Linked DNA regions of Xenopus tropicalis. The protein of the gene in region 2 interacts with the protein of the main gene of each other region in a pairwise test. Links are inferred from orthologs where the notes say so. Each region holds a gene or a part of one and is shown on either strand. Other genes may lie near its edges.

Region 1 (6,296 bases), on a different chromosome or scaffold from region 2:
CATGTCTGGCATCAGCCTTAAAAGAAATGTAACACTAAATTTTTTAAGTAAAAAAGCTATTCTACCCTGCACCAATAACTGCCCTATCCTGCAAACCACTTAGTATTTTACATGCTTTAATAGAAAATACCTGCTTAAACTTGGCTTCCTGTCAATTGAACTACGGCGATACGGTAAAGGAAGGAGCAGCATCCACTATGCGACGATCGATTGTTCGAGCCTAGCCTTCTTTCTGTATAGGAAGGATTCAGGCTAGGCTCGATCAATCGATCGTCGCATAGTGGATGCAGTTCCTTCCTTCACCGTATCGCCGTAGTTCAATTGACAGGAAGCAAAGTTTTAGCAGGTATTTTCTATTAAAGCATTTAAAATACTAAGTGGTTTGCAGGATAGGGCAATTATTGGTGCAGGGTAGAATAGCTTTTTCTTAAGAAATTTTAGTGTTACTTTCCTTTAATAGGCATGGGATGGTATTTAAAATATTTAGGAATGGACAGTTTACCTGAGAAAGTTCATCATCATCATCATCATCAAAAGCGAAAGCTTTGAACTTGGAGCTATGCCAGTAATCTTCCTCATCTCCTTTAGTTCTGGACATCTACAAAGGAAAATATGATCACAATCAAAATTAGGACAAAGCAAAGCAGAAGAAAACAATTTATAGAAAGAAGGGACTGTGCTTCCCCTGCAGGACAAATACAGACACTACAGTAAAAGCTACTTTTTATACCTGTTAAAGGACAAGGAAAGTCAAAATCTATTAAGCACACTATTAAATAGTACTACTATTGCTATGTAAAAACGCTATATTTCTGGCTTGCCTAATGAAAGATTTACAGAGATACACCTGCTACATTCTACATACTTGCTTCAGTGAACGGAGCCGCCCTCTTTAACAAGTGATGCCCACTCCCTTTCCCTCACTGTCTCTACTGCGCATGCGCCCCCAACATCCTCCCTGCGGCCCCCCGCTTCCTTCTGGAAGGATGCAGCTGCATCCTTATTATCCACTCATGTGAATTCAAATCGTCAGCACCCCCAACTCGTGTCACACACCACCCGTTCCGGTCCTTTTGTCAGCACCCCCCCCACTCCGCTCCTTTTGTCAGCACCCCCCCCCCGCTCCGCTCCTTTTGTCGGCAAAACCCCCCCCCCGCTGTGTTCTCTAGTCGGCATCCAGTGCTCCCCGCTTGCCTCTCCCCCCACCAGCACCTCTTGTCCTCTTGTAATCATCCCACGCTCCCTGCTTGCCTCTCTCCCCACCAGCACCTGCCTGCCAGCTGTCTTGTCTTGTTCTTCCACTGCTTAGACTGTTTATAAGGGCGGCGGTCGCCATGGCGCTGGGGGGAGCGCTCCTGCTGGTGCGCATGCGCCGCCTACAGTCCTGATCCCATGGTCAGTGCAGGAGTGAGGCATTATGGGAATCTTCTCTACCCAGCTCAGGGTGTTTTCTTCCTGTTTGGCTTCAGATCTTCTGAACGGGAGAAATATGGGGAGACTTAAAGGAACAGTAACACCAAAAAAATAAAGTGTATACAAGTAATAACAAAATAATGTACTGTTGCCCTGCATTGCTACAACTGGTGTGTTTGCCTCAGAAAGACTACTATAGTTTATATAAGTAAGCTGCTGTGTAGCCATGGGGGCAGCCATTCAAAGGAGAAAAGGCACAGGTTACTTAGCAGATAACAGATAAACCCCCATTATATGGGGCTTATCTACTAGGTATCTGCTATGTAACCTGTGCCTTTTCTCCTTTTTTTCCAGCTTGAATGGCTGCCCCCATGGCTACACAGCAGCTTATTTATATAGTAGCTTTACTGTAGCAAAAACACCAGTTTTTTGCAGAGCAACAGCACATTATATTTTAATTACTTTAAAACACTTTAATTTTTTGATGTTACTGTTCCTTTAAGGGCACTATTGAGACAACAGAAGGTATGCCTGTATTTTGAGATTAACTCTTTACTAGCCTTTCCTTCTTCTTTAAATCAGTCATTTTTCTGTGTCTGTGACAATTTCTTTGAAGGGATGGGAGTGGCCTATTTTGAACCTAACACACTGAGAACTTCCTATATGCTTAAATCATAACGTCTAGGTTTTGCCTTTACTTTTTTTCCCACTGGATCAATTCATCGGTTGCTTGTGCAACCAGTTGCATAAATTGAAAAGTCAACGGCATAGCCAAACAGACTCAGCATATTATAAATCTAACTTACTGTTACTGTTAGAATTGCAGCACTCTGACACAGGAGTCACAGCCAATAGGAGTTAAATCTGCTGCTAGTACAATGCATGACATCATTAGAGGAAGTAAAAAAGCAACTGTGGTGTTTATAGGGGTCACTGACCCCCTCCCCTCCAACACAGGGTCTGTGCAGAAGTGAAGGATCAGCAGAGGGATGATTCTGAGGTGAATCTCTCTTCAGCTGCACATTTTTTGAACAACATTTTAAAACAAATGTTTATCCAGTGGTTATCTTTGTTGCCTTGCAGCATTTGGGTATCTGCACGGATTTCTACACTCCAAAACATACAGGCTATTATCTATCTGTAAAACGCACTCTATAGGATGATAGGTGATAGGCAACAAATTCTCCACTGGGGCAGAATGAACAATCTCTTATGGCACTGTGATATAAAGTTATATAAATAAAAGATAACAGACATATAAACGTTGCCTCTTCATTTAATCCAGCAATTGTTGACATTCTATACGATTATAAGGCAATGGCAATTAAGAAGCTGTGCACGGAAGAAGCAGTGGAAAATACTAGGATACGTGTAAACGGGACGCAGGCCAACTATAACCTGGTCCTACAGAATCGCAAGCGTCCCTCTGCCCAAAATCGCCCCTACCCATCTACAGCCTTACCTCTTCAGCCGACACAACCCGTCTCTGCCGGGAGAATGCTGGGATATGTATTTTTTACTCGAGACAACCAATCTATCTCCAGAGAAGACTGACTAGATGTTAAACTACAATTCCCATCAGCGCTAGCGCCTTGCACTTCCGGCTTAATTTGGGCTCTGGGCAATTTGCTTGGCAGAGTAATTCACGGATTCTGGATTTACGAGTATTTTCCCAGCCAATGATTAGGTACAGTCAGTACCGGCACATATTTTGGAATGAACAGTTTTCTAGAAAAAAAAAAAACCACAGCATATCATTCATTTGCTGGCAAAGCAGGCGGTGATTGCATCGGTGCTGCAAAATCTCACAAATACTTAATTCACCAAACTCAATTGCAATATGTTGTCTTTTTTTATAGTGTAGGACAAATGGGGCGCCGACATCCCTGCATACCGAACGGGCCTTAAAACGGCTTTCTTTTATTACGATAAACTCCCAGTTGCAGCAGAACTACAACCCTTCACGACAGCCATTACAATTGCCCCAACTTTCAGTATCCCCTAAGGTTCTTTGGTTGCCCATCACGCTTGCCTCAATTTTAAACAGCGCTTAAAGCCCTTTTGACAGGAGGAGTGATTCTAGTCACTGTAACGCAAGGGTCACCTGATTCAACGCCAAGTGCTGTCACAGACTAATTCGTGCTGCCCATTTAGAATGCAGACCGATACAATGCAGTATACAGGCTAAATCATGCCTCACTCAAAATGGCGCGGATAGAGGGGCCAGACAGCCATTATCATCGTGGGCAGAACTTGATATCTACTGAGACACTTTCAGAAACGATCTATAGCCATCAACGTGTATTTGTAATACGTGTTGTGCGAGTAGGCGTTCCCTCAGTAAAGATGGCTAACTAGCATAACCTGCACTTTGCAAGAGCGGAAAAGGCGGGGACTTTTGTTTCAGACACCGGAAAAACTTTGAGCCGGCTTTCCAGGCGTTTCTAGTAATTTCTACTGAGGCTGGTACATATATGAGGAACCTGGGGAGGAGAGCAAAGTGAGCACGGCGTGGGGCGGGAGAGAATGTATCGCAGCTCCTAAGAGGTTCTGGTCTGGGGATAGCTGGATCTGAAGTGTAAACCATAGAGAGAGGCTAGTGGCAGGGAAAGGAGCAAAGCACAATATAGCAGAGCGGTGACAGGCAGTGGTGCAGACGGCAAAGACACGCTGATTGAGGCCTTTCTCGCAGCGGCGCTGAAGGTACCAGAATAGTTTCTTGCATTTAGATCTTCACTTGTTTAGCCATGGCGAAGTGGGGAGAGGGGGATCCGCGGTGGATCGTTGAGATGAGAGCAGATGCCACCAACGTTAACAATTGGCACTGGTAAGTTCATCTTTGTTTAATGATGCCTCCTAAAAAATGACAGAATTATTCAAGCGTGGTTAGGAATCCTAAAGTGCATATGTTACCAAGAAGCACGTCCAACTTGTAGACTGGGATATATATATATATATATATATATATATAATTTTTTATATTTTAATCAACATATCAGCAGCAAGAGAGTGTTTGGAAATGGAGATGCAACCTTATAAAATGTTGCTGGTAAAATATGTTATGTCTATTTTAATGATATTTTTTAATTAATACTGACTCAATTTGGCTTTTTTTATGGAGGTAAGATCATGTTGCCAAGTGTTAGTCTTTTTAGATTTATAAGAAGCTTTGCCTCCACCCAGTTGTTATCTTGGTACATGAGTTATGTTCATTGTTGCTGTGTGTCTGAGATATTCCATATCTCCTTAGTTTAAATCAGTTACATGCAGGCATGTAAGAGAGATCACTTGCAAAGGCTTAAATCTTAGTTATGGTCGGTGCAGTTTTGCCAGTGCCAGCATAGAAATGATTTGACTGAAATTCACTGAAAAGCTTTAACCTGCAAGTTTTCAGAATTTCTAGTAGATAGTTAAATCCAAGTTTTTAAGATCAAATTTTTTTTTTGTTTCTCTGCTTTTTGCTTTGCTTTGTTTTTAAGACTTGGCAAAAAATGTACAGCCAAAGCTAAATACACCTATTCCAACGTTTATGGGCCTGTGCAAGTTCTTTGGCATATTCATTCTGTCAGTAACTATATCTGGCTTGCTGTTGATGCGGGCTGTGTCAAGCAGTGCAAAAAATAGATCATGAAAAGACAAATGACCTAAGTGTTGGTAATGCAGTGCTGGCAGCTGGTGCCCAAACTGGGAAGGTTGGAGATAATTATTTTCGGTACCTATAACAATTGGCTTCAAAGCATGTGTTGATCATGTGTTCTGATGCTGACAGTTTAAATTTCTGCATATCCAGAAACAACATACAGTTAATGGAGTGGTTCACCTTTTAATACATTATAGAATATCCTATTCCTAGCAACTTTGAATAGGTCTTCATTATTTTTTTATAGTTATCAAAATATTTACCTTCCTCTTCTACATCTTTCTAGCTTTCAAATGGGGGTCACTGGCACCATCAGCTAAAAATCAGTTGCTTTGTGAACTAAAATTATTATTTGTGTTACGTTTTTATTCCTTATCTTTCTATTAAGGCACTCTGCTATTCAATTTCCAGTCTCTCATTCAAGCCATTCCAGTTGCTAAGGTAAACAAGACTCTGGCATCCAAATAGCTGCTGAAATTCCAAACTGGAGAGCTGCTGACCAAAAAGCTAAATAACTGAAAAACCACAAATAATAAAAGAGAACCAATTGTAGATTGTTTCAGAATATCACTATTTACATCATACTAAAAGTTAATACAAAATTGAACGACACCTTTAATGCACATTTGGGAAAATAACTTTAAAACTCAAATAACAATTAATTGATATAGTTTAGTTGCCAAGTTTGTCTTTAAAACAATACTCCTAAATTCTCAATTAAGATGTCTGTCTTTTTTGTTTGTTTTTTTTGCCAAGGACTGAAAGAGATGCCACTAGCTGGTCCTCAGAGAAAATTAAAGAACTAATGATGGACATAAGAGTGGAAAGTGAGGAAGGGACATGTGAAATAACAGAAGTAAGCAAGCTGGAGGGGGAAGCATCTATCAACAACCGAAAGGGAAAGCTCATTTTCTTCTATGAGTGGGATATCAAGCTGAACTGGACAGGTGAGTAGCATATAGAACATTCTGAATTTTGGGGGTCTACTGATTTTTTTGTGTTTAAATGCATATCATTGTCTAAATAATGTGGCGTCTAGAGATCCCAGAATCTGAATAGTACATTAAACTGTTATGAATGATGCTTTGCCCCTGCAAAAAAAAAAATGAGATCTGAAAACCTTTTCAAAAATGATTCCCCACAGATACTTTAGATATTAAAAAAACCTAGATAATTTAGAGTGAGTAAATATTGCTTTCTTGGCAGGACATTCAAATAGCAATATTTTGCAGCGGATTATACA
Region 2 (6,289 bases):
GTGGCAGTAATCAGGCCTGGGGGTGACTACAGAAATTGATATTGAAATTGAAAATTGAAATTGATAAACCACAGTTAAGTTATTTTTTAACAAGGGGGGCAATCACTTTTTCACACAGGGCCATGTAGATTTGGAGTTTTTTTTCTCCCTTAATAACGTAAACCTTCATTTAAAAACTGCATTTTGTGTTCAATTATGTTATCTTTGACTAATAGTTAACGGTTTTTGATGAGCAGAAACATTTAAGTGTGACAAACATGCAAAAGAATAAGAAATCAGGAAGGGGGCAAATAGTTTTTCACACCACTGTATATATACATTATTTGGACCTGCACCCAGGCAACAGCAACTTATCTATACGTGAGTGCCGGCATTTACTTGGAAGTTATATATATATATATATATACACACATACACACACACATATATATATGCACCAAATGCTCAAGAGTCTTAGGGCTGTGACACACGGGGAGATTAGTCGCCCATGACAAATCTCCCTTGTCGCCGGCGACTAATCTCCCCAAGATTCCATCCCACCGGCGATTTACAAATCGCCGGTGGGATGGCATATGCGGCGCCGCAATCACCGAAGTTGCCTTCAGAGGAAACCGGCGCCGCGTTTGCCATCCCACTGGCGATTTACATTTAAGCGGGTGGGATGGCATATCCGGGAGATTAGTTGCCCGCGACAAGGGAGATTTGTCGTGGGCGACTAATCTCCCCGTCTGCCACGGCCCTTAGAGGGAGTCTTGACAAGAAGTACAGACTTTGCAGGCTTCTTTGTATAAACAGCAGTTGGCACAGGTCTAAAGATTAAGGGGCAGATTTATCAAAATGTGAGTTTAGAGCTTAATACAGATAAACTCAACCACATTCTATTCATGTATATGGGAAGTGTATTTATCAATGGGTGAAATCTAGAACTCACCATTTGATAAATAGGCTTCTAAAAATCCCATAGGAATTAATAGAATGTGGGTGAGTTTTTATGTATTAAGCTCTAAACTTACATTTTAATAAAATTACCATTGTCTTACCACCCCTGTTTTCCCAGCCACTGAGTGACACTGGTGGTCACAAAGATGCACCAAAGTGATTTCTGACTTTTTGAACAGTTAAGAATGAAGGTTTCCTATTATTTTTGGACTCACCTTTTGAGGACTAAATATAATTTTGTATTTCCGGTTTCTTGCAGAAGCTTTATCTGAACGTACAAGATCTGCATAAAAAATGTTAAGACCATTTAGATGAATGCAGTATATATAATATCATATACTGCAACTGTAAATGTATTTTTCGATACAGTTACAGGCCCGAGAAGAGAAAATGTACTGAATCTCTAAAAGCAGTTTTGTGCGTTACCTTTTTACCTCGGTATCTCAGTACTTACTAGCAATAAATTTCACATGCTTGATGCGTGGTCTGATCAAAAAACACAATCTAGGGAGGTAAATAAGACAAGCATTAATAAAGTATTTTCTGGTCATGTTGCTTAGTAATTGCTGGTTAACCAATTTTAGGAATGATCTATACATCAAATATTTGTCCAAATAACTATCTAAATGAAAAATATGTCACATTCAGACAGTTTTAAAGGAGAATGGAAGCTAAAATCACTAGGGGTGTCAAGTGTTTCTAACCAACAACTGAGACACCAGGAAAGTGCTCGTCTTTCCTGAATGAACTTGAGCTAGTTTCTTTTTTTTTTTTGCAGAGCCCCTTAAATGTTTTACCACTTCCATGCAATGTTCCTCTGCTCCAAAAGAACATTTTTTATTGGCCAGGAATGGCCAGGAATTGGCCAGGAATGGGAAAGTTTTGTGGTCCCCCAAATCACACATTTTCAAGCATCACTGTATAGAAAGTTAATAGACACAGTTGCTAAACTAAAAATGTATTTTTACTAGAATATACTTAGCTATAACCATTAATGTGGTAAAAAATGCTGCAGTACTGCACTTCCATTCCTGAAATTCAACAATTTTTTTGTAGTAATCTAGAAGACTTACTGGTCACAGTTGCTATAAATGGGCTTGTCCTCCAGTTTATACAGTTTGTCCACCTCATGTTGCTAAATTAAGATTAAGGAACATAACTTTACAATGACACAACAAACTGTAAGTATCTTTGAATTAAAAGATATAATTGTAAATGATAATAATAATCCTTAAATTAGCTTGTATCCACTGGAGCATTTGGCTATACACAAAACTACTGTACATATGCTATACCTGTTATAAAGAATTAAATTGCCAGTCATTAAAGACACACATAACACAGAAAATGGGTTATACCTTTAATATTGAGACATTGGCAATGCGATCTAATGGGCTCATCAAATCTGGTTCAATAAACAAGTCTTTTTTTCCAGGTAGCTGGAAGCAACAAAATATAGAACATTATTACAACATACTGTAATTAAGAAATTTCAGAAAGACTTAAAAAAAACTAGATTCAGAGAAGTTGGCTTTATAAATGTTAGCTATAAAGGGCAACAATTAAAAATATAGCTTTCAAAATTGTAATAAATGAATTCATTAAATTAAATTGTAATAAATTAATTCATTAACACTCCTTGGAGTGCCTTCCCACTGATGGGAAACACGTGCGTCGCTTTGCTTTCCCATGTCGCCTCGTGTGGCAACTTCTGAAGCTAAAGTGATGCATATGTTTTTCCACTGGTGATTTACATTATTGCCAGTTGGAAGACATTTTTTTGAAGATAAGTCGACCATGGTAGAGGAGATTTATTGTGGGTGACTAATATCCTCATATATAATGATTTTTTTTTTTTTTTAACACAGAGTAGCAGGCACAAACTACAGGGTTACTGCACGCCTCACACTGACCTGCTCCAAAATATAGATTAGCTGATCTCGAGCCAGTCTTTTTAATATTGTAAAATCAGGAAGCTCAGGGGAATCTATTCTTTCTGAAGCCATTTCAAAACCTTGCAGTTGATAAACCTGCAAAAAAAAATTAAACATTAGTAGAACATTAAAAACAAAAGGGCTCATTTTCATTTCATCTAAGAGGCAGACTCTTTAATACGTCCTACAGACACATAACAAAAAATACATTTTGTACTACTGTCACACATAAAAGCAGCCTAGGATACAGTTAATAAGTTTCTTCTATATGGGCTATTTTCTGGGAGAATCCAGTGGGACTGTTTACACTATGTTGAACCATGTGGGTTGATTATAGTATATTGCAGCACTGATCCAAACACCTGATTCTGATTGCATAATGGAAATTGACATATCATATCACTACAAATAATTAGAATGCATAATGGAAATTGACATATCATATCACTACAAATAATTAAATTGCATAATGGAAATTGACATATCATATCACTACAAATAATTAGGGATGCCTCCCACAGGCTTCTGTGCACTGGCGACCTAAATGCAGTAGTGAAATCAGGGGGAAAGCTGGTTCTTCCTAAGCCCCTCAGCATTTTTAAGGCTGTAGTGTGCATGAACTGTCAGTGCTATATGAGACACCAGCCACCCTAATCAACTGAAGTGTAAGGGGTTAAATGCTATTTTAACTTGATTTATTCATAGATTAATATTTATTTTTACAGTGACTCTGACACATTCCTAGAATTGACAGGAATATGTCAGCAACACTAGTCAAAGAGGGCTGCACAGAGATTTGATGTCATCCCCAGCTTCTTGTATGATGTGCTTCCTTCCTTTATATAAAGCCCCAGAAATGGAAAAGGGATTAGATCACATATTACCTCTTAAAAATGTACTTAGAGCTACAGAGATATCATCTCTCCTCCGTGTCTGAGCTGAAAACGAGGGCTGGATACAGCCTTGCATTCTCACACAGGAAGTAGTCATATCTGTGAGTGACAAGCAACTCTGTGCAATGGCAGCCTAGGTCCCGCCCCATGTCTTACTGTTCCCAGCCTGATTAGGCTCTGGTTGTGTCGTGTTGTTGTGTTTGTTTATGGCTGAGAAGCTGTAGTTTTTCCCGGAATTCTGTTCTATTAACACCTATTATTTCTTATTTCCAGCACTTAAACACCCTCGTAAGGCGCATGCCCTTTTCATTAAAGCAGTAGCCATTTAGATACTGTGCCCTCCTGCTGTCAGGTAGCCACAACTCCCTTCACCCTTAGTAATTGCATAGTGTGTGTTTGTGTCACTGCCATCCAGCAGAAAACAGCAGTTGACCAAATGCCTCTGATGCAACTGAATGTAAACCCCGTGTGATGTAAAGAGTGGCAGATGAACTTTAGAGCCAAATTCCCCCTTCAGTATTTCTCACACTGAGGTCTGCTTGGGACTGCACCTTGTTCATTCTATAGGGTGCCTTTCATGCAATAGTTTTAGCAGCAGTGATGTGGGAGAGGGTATGGACAGTGGCCCTCCTGCTGGAACAGAATAACAACTGCTTCTAATGCATGTACACAGCCCGGGCCAGCTGCAATGGATCCCAGTTAGAGACATGAAGATGTTCAGGGAAGAGAAGCACCAGCCCAAGGTTTAGGTGGTTATAATCACTGTTGGTGCCTAACAAATTGTCCCCACCCTGTGATAAATACCCTTTGAAATACCCAGTGATGATACCCTTTCCTTCTCCTTTAACCCTTTAAGTGCCAGCCGAATTCGTCATTTCGGTTCCCCCCAGTGCCAGACGTTTTTTAAGCATTTTGTACTCATTCACTTTAACAATGTTTTTTGGTAGGAAAACCTCCACGAAACTAGGGAAATTATATATCGTTTTTTTCGTCACTAATTGGGCTTCGACATACATACCAAATTTTATAACTTTTCTGGAGATATGATGTGTATTTTGGGTGAAATATGTAAAAAAAAAATAAAATTATGAAAAATTTCTGTATATTTTGAGGTTTTTTTCCATAGAAAAGTTAATTTTACTCACTTTTTTTTATTGTTTGTAAAAGCCCTGATACTCCCAAGTCCAACGATACCAAATATGTGGTGGTACCCCACAGTTCCTGTCCAGAAGTAACCCCCAAACTAAGGCAATACTTAGTACAATATCACACCAGAACAAAGCAGAAAAGCGCTTGTAACAGTTAATGCAGCATAACTTATATGTAAATCTAAAATATCCCCTCATGTTTGGTATCTTTAGAAACTACAGACCTTCAGGTTTCTAGGTGCAATGTAGTTTTCACTCAAAAGCCAAATACCTTTTGTCAGTGCATTGTGAAATTTGGAACTTTTTATGACATTTTTTTTTTTTTTCTAAAACGTAAACTTGGACGCATGATCAAATGTGGATTTGACAAAAAAAAATATCATAAAAATTTTCTAACAAAGGCATATTTGAAAGACAAACTTCTCCTGAATAAAATGATGCCCCATATGTATGGGTGCACATAAAGACATGGGCACCAAACACTCCAAAGCAGGGGCAATGCACAAGGGCAATTACAGCTAAAAATGTGGGGGCTGCGCTCTATGTGCACTTCCTGCAGTTTTTCAGTGTTAACCCCCCCTACCTGTGAAATAACCCCCACAAACTATATATTTCTGAAAAGTGCACACCTTCAGCTATTCAGAGACACCACTCTTTTCTTTCTACATGGAAAATTGTGGCCGCAGTCCCTTGCAGAAGTCAGCGCTTTGGTCAGAAATCAAGGAAAAACCAGATAAAAAACCTAGATTTCTCCCCAAAATCTCCATGGCAACTACCAAAAACTTACTAACCATCAATCTGCAAGTTCCCCTGAATAAAACGATACCCCATATGTATGGGTGCACATAAAGACGTGGCCACCAAATGCCCCAAAACAGGGGCAATGCATAAGGGCAATTTCAGTTGAAATTTTGGGGGCTGCGCTCTATGTGCACTACCTGCAGTTTTTCAGTGTTAACCCCCCCTACCTGTGAGATAACCCCCACAATCTATATATTTACGAAAAGTGCACACCTTCAGCTATTCAGAGACACCACTCTTCTCTTTCTACATGGAAAATTGTGGCCGCAGTCCCTTGCAGAAGTCAGCGCTTTGGTCAGAAATCAAGGAAAAACTAGATACAAACCTAGATTTCTCCCCAAAATCTCCATGGCAACTACCAAAAACTTACTAACCATCAATCTGCAAGTTCCCCTGAATAAAACGATACCCCATATGTATGGGTGCACATAAAGACGTGGCCACCAAATGCCCCAAAACAGGGGCAATGCATAAGGGCAATTTCAGTTGAAATTTTGGGGGCTGCGCTCTATGTGCACTACCTGCAGTTTTTCAGTGTTAACCCCCCCTACCTGTGAAATAACCCCCGCAAACT

What was found. The genes of interacting proteins can lie anywhere in the genome.
Region 1: the proteins of vps33b (region 2) and vipas39 interact in binary tests that used the Homo sapiens proteins (3 or more experiments, as listed by UniProt). The link is inferred for Xenopus tropicalis from reciprocal best matches to the Homo sapiens genes VPS33B and VIPAS39.

The regions. Positions count from the first base shown.
Region 1 is NC_030684.2:82,867,650-82,873,945, reverse strand, and holds the start of vipas39 (spermatogenesis-defective protein 39 homolog), read right to left. Parts: upstream 3,556-6,296; 5' UTR 3,518-3,555; intron 3,490-3,517; exon of another isoform or gene 3,446-3,489; intron 3,411-3,445; exon of another isoform or gene 3,308-3,410; intron 3,142-3,307; exon of another isoform or gene 2,876-3,141; intron 599-2,875; coding exon 503-598; intron 1-502. Other genes in the region: ahsa1 (activator of 90 kDa heat shock protein ATPase homolog 1), read left to right, coding at 4,161-4,240, 5,810-6,000.
Region 2 is NC_030679.2:108,178,683-108,184,971, forward strand, and holds the start of vps33b (vacuolar protein sorting-associated protein 33B), read right to left. Parts: upstream 3,845-6,289; 5' UTR 3,758-3,844; intron 2,970-3,757; 5' UTR 2,946-2,969; coding exon 2,853-2,945; intron 2,379-2,852; coding exon 2,298-2,378; intron 2,075-2,297; coding exon 2,013-2,074; intron 1,444-2,012; coding exon 1,394-1,443; intron 1,223-1,393; coding exon 1,155-1,222; intron 1-1,154. UniProt on the Homo sapiens protein: May play a role in vesicle-mediated protein trafficking to lysosomal compartments and in membrane docking/fusion reactions of late endosomes/lysosomes.